2 linked regions of the Oryctolagus cuniculus genome follow. The protein of the gene in region 1 interacts with the protein of each later gene in a biochemical or structural test. Links are inferred from orthologs where the notes say so. Each region holds a gene or a part of one and is shown on either strand. Other genes may lie near its edges.

Region 1 (4,509 bases):
TTGAAAAAATGAAATAAAATAAGGGCTGGGGATGTGCCAGCAACCCATATAGGTGCTGTTTCCTGTCCCCGCTGCTCCCCTTCCAATTCAGCTCCCTGCTGATGGCCTGGGAAAGTAGTTAGAAGATGGCCCAAGTGCTTGGGCCCCTGCACCCACTTGGGAGACCTGGAAGAAACTCCTGGCTCCTTGCTTCAGATCAGCTCAGCTCTGGCCATTCCGGCCATTAGGAAGTAAACCAGCAGATGGAAGAACTTTGTCTCTCCCTCTCTTCATAACTTTATTTCTCAAATAAATAAATAAAATCTTAAAAAAAAAAAAGAAAAGGTTGGTGGCAACATTTGTTCCTTAGCTTTAGTCAGTACACTTTCCCCTTTCCTTTATGTTTTTGTTTTCTATGTATTTATTTTTGCATAGTTTGAAGTGTTGTTGTTCACTACCAAAAGTATTCTGACCAAGTCAGTACCCTTAAGCCTTCCAATATGAAATAAAACTAGTCAAGTGAATTGCATCAATAAGCCAAGAAAAATCTTTTTAAAGAACTTTTTTTAAAAAATTAATCTGAAAAACAGAAACAGATCTCCTATCTACTGGTTCACTCCCCTCAGTGCCTGCAGCAGCTGAGGCTGGGCCAAATAGGAGCCAGGAACTCAGTCTGGGTCTCCCACGTGAGTGGCAGAGATGCAACATCGTGAGCCATTTCATGCTATCTTCCAGCGTACACATTAGCAGAAAGCTAGCACTGGGCACCAGAGTGCACATTAGCAGAAAGCTAGCACTGGGCACAGAGCCGGGACTTGAACTCAGACCTTCCAATATGAGACACAGGCATCCCGGAGATGTATTTGCCACACTGTTTTTTAAAGTTTCATTAGAACATCAACACTATGGGTGGACTTCTGGCTAAGTGGTTAAGTTCCTATTTGGGATGCCCACATCCTATCAGAGTGCCTGGTTTTCCTGGCTGCTCTGCTCCTGATCCAATTTCCTGCTAAGGCACACCCTGGAAGGCAACAGATAATGCCCCAAGAACTTGGGTCCCTGCCACTCATGTGAGAAGCATGGATGAATTCCTGGCTCCTGGCTTCAATCTGGCCTAGCCCTGGCTGCTGACGGCATTTGAGAAGTGAGTCAGTGGACAAAAGATCTCCTCTGTCTCTCAATCCCCCACCCCCACCTCCACCTTTCAGATAAAATGAAGAGTAGTTTTTAAAAAGTTCTTTCTTTCTTATTTGAAAGGCAGAGTTACAGAGGGAGAGAGAGAGAGGCAGAGATAGCAAGATCCTCCAACCAATAGCTCACTCTCTAAATGGCAACAACAGCCCATTGGAAGCCAGGAGCTTCCTCCCCATCTCCCACATGGATGCATGGGCCCAAGATTTGGGTCATCCTCCCCTGTGGATCTTGCATTGGATGCCGGCACCTTAGGTGGTCCCAATACATAAATTTTATTATTTCTTTTTTTTAAAAAAAGATTATTTTATTTGAAAGGCAGAGTCACAGAGAAGTAGAAGCAGAGAGAGAGAGAGGTCTTCCATCTGCTGGTTCACTCTCCAGATGGCCACAATGGCTGGAGCTGGACTGATCCAAAGCCAAGAGCCAGGAGCTTCTTCTGGGTCTCCCACTTTGGTGCAGGGGCCCAAGGACTTGGGCCATCTTCCACTGCTTTCCCAGGCCATAGCAGAAAGCTGGATCAGAAGTTGGGCAGCCAGAACTCGAACCAGTGCCCATATGGGATGCCAGCACTGCAGGCGGCGGCCTCACCTGCTACACCACAGTGCCAGCCCCAATAACTACATTTTAAAAACTTAAAACACTAATACTATGCACTATGTACTACATTTCAGAATTGTGTGGCAGAATCTGCTAGAGCTGCTATTATACAATGACCAAGCAATGTACATCTCACAGAACTGTGTATTTATATGGAATGGTAGATATTCTCAAGAAAGACAAAAACTTCCCTGGTCGTAACTGCTCTGAACTGGAAACAATCCTAATATTACCACTGTGCTACTCAAATGGTCTATCATTCACAGCAACGATGTTTGGAGAGCAAAGAAGCCAGACACAAAGAATACATGCTGCTTTTTTAATGCATATAACATTTAAAAACAGGAAAAAAATACTATCTTTAAATATATTTATTGGAGAGATGGAGAGAGGAGAGGGGGAGGGCGAGGTAGGGGGAGGGGAGAAAGAGGGAGAGGAAAAGCAAGTGAGCTTCCATCAGCTGATACACTTCCAGAATGCCCAGAGCTGGAGCTGTGAACGCAATCCCCGTCTCACAGGTGTGGCAGGACCCCAATTACTTGAGAAACCATTGCTGCCTCCCAGCGTCTGCACTAGCAAGAACCTGGAGTCAGCAACTGGAACCCGAGAGTCGCTTTGCTCCTGTGATCTCAGAGAACGGGTTCTGCATCTCAGGGAGAACACGGCTGCTGCAGTGAACCTCCTCGGTACGCTCAGGTAACCTGACACAAGACGAAAGCATCCCACTGGCATCCTCACCGCTAAGTTAAACACCTCTTCCTCCATACAGTTTTTAAAGATTCCTTGTATTGCACAAATGTTTGATTTACAAAAGATCTATAAGAATCAGAAGGAAGATAAAAATTGTTTTTGTGCAGTAGGAAAATCCATCATGATAAAAAGACATTCAGAAAAAAAAAACCTTTAAATCTGATTAAATAAAACTAATTCTTAAGACCTCTTAAGACAGACGAGGAACAGTTGTAACCTTAAAAACAAAGTATTCACATACAGATTTTATAAGGAATTCAGAGGACACAAGTCAGTAACAAAAGAAATACCAAATAGGGCTTCTTTAAGAATAAAAACTATAGAAAATATATAGTATTAAATGATACACTATTAAATTGATAAAACTGTTAAAATCCAACAAAAGCAGGTGTGAAAAGGGTGTGGGGAGTTCTCAAATACTACTGTCTAGAACTTAAATTTTTACAGCAACTTTGGAGAGTACTTTGACAATATTTAAAGTAGACATACCCTATACACATAGAGAGAGCTAAGTCTTCAGGATATTGATAAACGTTTTTGAGAGTTATATAGAGCATGCAGAAAAAAGTTTTCCCACATAAAAATCCAAATAATGTAAAAAAATTATTTAAAGAATATACATCAAGCTGACTGATAATAGGAGAAAGCTACTTACTAGGAAAGAAAAATGGGACCAAATGTTCACTGACTATAACTGAAAATAGGATAACTTAACTTATATGACTTGTGAACTTAATTTTAAGGGGCAAAAAGAAAAGAGCAGAATGGCTCAGTTCTCAATATGTTGGCCTGCGTGTGGTTCGGAGACGTGGATTGAGAAGTCATTAGGGACTAGACGAAACCGTGGAGCAGGTGCGGTTGCCTGGGGGATGAGGAAGAGGAGCAGCAGGAGCGTTAACTGTGGTTAGGGAGGTATCTCCCAGTTTATAGCATCCTAAGTAGTATCGCGGCACAGCGAAGCAGAGCCCACGGAACGCTCTCGTACACACAGTCTCTAGCTGTGAGGTTTGAATCGGTGGACACACAGTCCACCGAGCCGCCCCGACATTCCCCGGGGAACGGCGAGCTCCCCGCCATAGCGGGGCGCCCAGCGGGAGGCGGCAACTGGGGGGCCACGCATGCGCCCCGAGTCCCGCGAAAGCAAGGCTTGTGCGCACGCGCACAACGGCGCAGCCGCGTCGCCCCTGTTTTGCTAAAAGCGCTTTGCTAGAACCTGAGCGGTTTCTACCATGTCGGCAATGGCAGAGCTGTCGGAGCTGTATGAAGAGTGCAACGACCTGCAGATGGATGTGATGCCCGGCGACGGGGACCTTCCGCAGATGGAGGTAGGCAGCGGGAGCCGGGAGCCGACCCCGAGTCCCTCCCGCAGCGGGGCCGCGCCACAGCTCGAAGAGGAAGGCCCGATGGAGGAGGAGGAGGGGGCGGCGGCCCAGCCAATGGCGGCGCCGGCGGGGAAACGCGGCCTGGCTCCCGGGCGCAGCCCTGGGGAGCAGCCCGGCCAGGTCGCGGGCCCGGACTTGGAGAGCGAGGACGAGGGCGAGGAATTTGATGACTGGGAGGACGACTACGACTATCCAGAAGAGGAGCCGCCGAGCGGCGCGGGCTACAGAGTGTCCGCGGCCCTGGAGGAAGCCAACAAGATGTTCCTGGGCACATCCCGAGCCAGAGAAGCAGCCCTGGATGGCGGCTTTCAGATGCATTATGAGAAGACCCCGTTCGACCAGTTAGCTTTTATTGAAGAGCTCTTCTCACTTATGGTTGTCAATCGTCTGACCGAGGAACTCGGTTGCGATGAGATTATCGATAGAGAGTAGCTGAATGCTGACCGGAGAGGAGGGACCCGACATTCCACTTGCTTTGGGGTTCGTTCCAGATAGGTTCTGTGCCAGTGAGAAAGTCGATCTTCAAAACAAGAAGTTGTTTTTGTTTTTCGGAATAGAAGACAATAGGACAGTGACTGCACAGCCGCGAAGGAGGGAAAGAACAGGA
Region 2 (4,269 bases), on another chromosome or scaffold:
TGTCTTTCAAATATAGATAAAAGTTTTTTTAAAAGAATATTTACATAGTTGCACAACCATCGCCACTATTTCTAGAATTTTTTCATCAGCCCAAACAGGAACTCTGTACCCATTAAGCAGTGACTCCCAGTTCCCTCCCAGCCACCAGGAGCCTCTAATCTCCCTGCTGTTTCAGTCAGTTTGCGTTTTGCACATGTTTTGTTGAAGTGGGAGCAGAGCACATCTTCCCGAGAGGGGCTCCTCTCGTGGCACCTGCTCTGCAAGGCCCCCGCGTGGGGTAGCCCGTGTCAGTGCCCATCCTAGAGAAACCTAGTCGGCCGGCCAGACTCCATTTCGTCAATAATAATCTTGCCAGCACTGCAACGTGGGAATGTTTTACTTCGCGGCCTGAGCGCAATCTCTTTGAAGTGCAAAAGGCAGGTGGAGTCCCTACCTCTCTGCTACCGTGGGAGTCCAGTAGGGGCACCATGTTCCCAGCTGGAACCACCTGCATCATAAAGACGTGAATGACTGGGCTATTCCTTGAGGCATAGGCACCCAGCTGGCACAGCGTGTCCTCTGTTGCCACAACGCCTTGGCTGGACTGGGAAAGAAGGAGGGGGTCAAGTTAGCCCAAACCTGGAGAGCTAGGGTGCACACTCCGCAGATGGCCTCCCACCATCCAGGAGAGTAACTGGGCTACTTCCACCTTCTCAGATTCCCACTCGGGGGGTTGGGGGACCCTCTATGGCAGCCTCTGTCTACTGACAGCAGATTGCTCCAGGAGGTCAAGGACCCCATTTTCCCTCAGGTCCGTATCCCCAGGGCACACAGCACAGGGTGCGGTACTGCACGGAGCTGAGTTTAAAACAAGGAAAAGGTGTAGGTGCCGGGAGTACAGCCACCCACGCTCCTCCAGGCTGCTCCGCTCTTGCCTGACTTAGAACCAGAGACGCCCACCTTTCCGAGCCTGCTTTTCCTTATCCGTGCAGTGGTTATAATTAGAGAACCTATCGTGGGAGACCAGAACATGCCTTCCCAAACTATGAAAGGGCGTCCTGCTGACGAGAAGCGCTGTCAGCCCTCCCTCCATGTGCCTGAAAGCAGGCGCTGCTAGGAGTTGTTACTCCCTGCAGTACTACAGAGGGCTCTGTTCATCACAGCGTCCTATAAAGAACGTGGTTTGGCACAGCAGATCCGGCGTTTAAGCCCCGGCTAGGGACGCCGGCATCCCATATCAGAGTGACGGGGGTTCGAGTCCCAGCTCCCTGCTAATGTTCAGCCCATTTAAAAACATTTTCTCAAAAAAAAAAAAAAAAAAAATGGAGGCCATTAGGTCCTGTTGCAGCCTCCCTGGCTCGGAGCTCAGCTCCCTTCTGCAGGAGCTGAGAGGGGGTGCGGCCAAGGGTGGGCGGGGCGCCGCAGGCCCCGCCCCCCGAGGCTGGTGGGCAGGGCGAAGAGGGACGCCCCCGGCGCGCTCGTGCGCGTGCGCGCGCCGCAGACCCCAGGTACGCGGACAAGATGGCGGCAGCAGCGGTGGACAGCGCGATGGAGGTGGTGCCCGCTCTGGCCGAGGAGAACGCGCCGGAGCCGGCGGGCCTCAGCTGCCTCGTCAACCTGCCGGGCGAGGTGCTGGAGTACATCCTGTGCAGCGGCTCGCTGACGGCCGCCGACATCGGCCGCGTCTCCAGCACCTGCCGGCGGCTGCGCGAGCTGTGCCAGAGCAGCGGGAAGGTGTGGAAGGAGCAGTTCCGGGTGAGGTGAGCCCACCGCCCCGCGCGCCGGGCCGGCCGCGGACCCCAGCTCGGGACCCCGCCCGCGGCCGCCAGACAAAGGCCTCGGGGCCGTCGGGGCCCCGCCGCGCCGCCCCCCCCACCCGGTGCCCAGATGGCGCGTCCGGGCGCGGGGTCCCCGCTCGGGGCCGCCGCCTCGCGCCGGGTGCGCTCTGCGCGCCTCTTTTGTGCCCGCCGCGGCGCGCGGTGTTTACAGCCCGGGCCGCGGGGGCGCGGCTGGCGGGGGTGGGGGGTGGCGGCGCGGGATGTCGATGCGGGGCTCCGGGTGGGATCCGGCCCTGCGGCGCCCCGGGGGTGACCTTGGGGCCGGCGGTTTCCCGGGCCGGGCCTCCTGCGTGGAAGGGTCGCGCGGTCCTCAGACCTCCTCGGCACCGGGAGGTTCTGATCGGGCGAGAGGATGCGTGGGACGCGCGCGCGCCATCCATGTTTACTGTCATTGTCATCGTTCTCGTCCCCGTCGTGTGGACCAGGGGGCCGGGGACACGGCCGTGGCGTCGCCACGCCAAGGGCACGGTGCGAGGCGGGGCGCGCGCGCGGGGTGGGGGTGGGGGGTCTGAGCTGGAGACCCTCCCCCCCGGGCCGAACCCGAGGCTGCCTGCGTGGCTCTCTGAAGCGGGGCCGGTGTGTCTCTCCCCGTAGGTGGCCTACCCTTATGAAACACTACAGCCCCACCGACTACGTCAATTGGTTGGAGGAATACAAAGTTCGGCAGAAGGCTGGCTTGGAAGCCCGGAAGATCGTGGCCTCGTTCTCCAAGAGGTTCTTTTCGGAGCACGTAAGCATCCGTGGACGTGGCCGCGAGCGCTGCGTGGCCGTGGGGTGTGTGCGTGGGGCTGGGGCTGCAGGCAGGCGCTCAGGTCCCTGCGTTCGCTTCCCCAGCTGCGAGAGAGTCATTGTGTCCCCTTCCTCCCATCCCTGCCAGCCTTACTTTCTAAAAAGCCAGAGGGAGAGAATGGGGCAGGAGGGAGTAGGGAGGTGTGCCTAGAGCGGATCCTCTGCCCAGCCTCCACCTAAAGTGGGGCATCATCATTGGTGATTGAGCTCTCTAGATCGCTCCCAGTTGTTTTCCCTAAAGGGCTGACGGAATGAATGCAATTCTGCTGTCTGGTGTTGCGGGTTCTACCTGGTGATGAACTGCATTATTTATCTATAAAAGGACAGAGAGTTACAAAGCTGTCTGTACATCAGAGTTGTAACTCCCTCGCATAAAATGACCTTGCAAAGGCTTTCTTTTCAATAGTGCCAAAATGCATGGTGGGTTTTTTTTTCTCACCCCCGAAATGTCTCCCAGAAGTTTCTGTATCCACTCCTAATGCTGAATTCTTTGCGTATCCAGACGACAACCCACTCTGATTTTCTGAACTTGTCTAATGATATTTATTTCTGGTCGGGGGTCCTAGAACGGGAGCCCACCTGTTTTATTTTACCAGCCTGGGTTTCTGAAGATTACTTCTGATTTTCTCACTTCATTACTACTAATGGAGTTCATACATTTGAAAGATTTTAAGGCTTCTCAAGTTTTGAAGAGGAAAATCTGAACTCTTTCTCCTTGTGGAGAATAAAAAATAGACCTTCCCTCGTGTCATTCCCTTCTGTAAACGTTTATTGGTGCAAGGAAGCGGACTTTATGTTGCACTTTGGAGAAGCCACGCCTGGGCTGACCGTGTCGGTCATCACAGACTGCGAGTCGTGGTGTGAAGCCTTGCACACAGCGTCCGGGCGCTGCGCAGCTTTGGTGCTGCTGGCCACGGGCTGCGAGGCTACGGCGTCCGCTGCTGCAGCAGCCGGTTGTGTGTGTGTGTGTGTGTGTGTGCGGTTTGAGCTTTCTCTGCCTTTGTCTGGTGATGAAGAATTGTGTTTGTTCCTTTGCTCCCCCTCTGCCTGTCCCATGCTTAATTAGAAGTATGTCAAGGACTTTGAACACAGCGGGAGTATACTTCAGACTGATCCGTGGGTGGGCGATTGGTTTGGCTCTGGACCCTTCTGTCCCTGCGTTCCCAGCATGCACACGGGCTGACCTGAAACATCCTGGCTGCTTTTACAAAGAAGAGGAGAAGTCATCTTAAAGTCTTAAATACCAGCAGGCTAGAGGAGTTGCCTCCTCCCTGGCTTATCTCGCTGGCCCTCTCTCCTGGTTGGTACAGCTGATCTGTGTGATGGGAACGCGTGATCCTGAGCTGTAGGACTTTGTAGCTGTAGTTCTGGTTACAGTTACTTTTCTTCGCCTTTCAGAAACTGCAGTCTATGGAAACACAATTAATTTACAAGTACCAGATGTGAACAGGTTAGGAGGAGAGTGTGGAATAGCTCCAAACAGGCACGTTTGTCGGCCACTCAGATGGGTGTTTGAGAGTGACAGCTGCGTTAGTACTCACGCTTGCGGCCTGTTGATGTCTGTCTTCCTCACAGGTTCCTTGTAACGGCTTCAGTGACATTGAGAATCTTGAGGGACCAGAGATATTTTTTGAGGATGAACTGGTGTGTATCCTGAATATGG

The links.
Region 2: of the proteins of EID1 (region 1) and FBXO21, one has a biochemical effect on the other in vitro, tested with the Homo sapiens proteins (2 studies listed by BioGRID, with this or other methods). The link is inferred for Oryctolagus cuniculus from reciprocal best matches to the Homo sapiens genes EID1 and FBXO21.

Annotation. Positions count from the first base shown.
Region 1 is NC_091443.1:71,693,628-71,698,136, forward strand, and holds the start of EID1 (EP300-interacting inhibitor of differentiation 1), read left to right. Parts: upstream 1-1,449; 5' UTR 1,450-3,749; coding exon 3,750-4,334; 3' UTR 4,335-4,509. UniProt on the Homo sapiens protein: Interacts with RB1 and EP300 and acts as a repressor of MYOD1 transactivation. Inhibits EP300 and CBP histone acetyltransferase activity.
Region 2 is NC_091452.1:13,519,286-13,523,554, reverse strand, and holds the start of FBXO21 (F-box only protein 21), read left to right. Parts: upstream 1-1,444; 5' UTR 1,445-1,500; coding exon 1,501-1,739; intron 1,740-2,411; coding exon 2,412-2,547; intron 2,548-4,181; coding exon 4,182-4,269. UniProt on the Homo sapiens protein: Substrate-recognition component of the SCF (SKP1-CUL1-F-box protein)-type E3 ubiquitin ligase complex.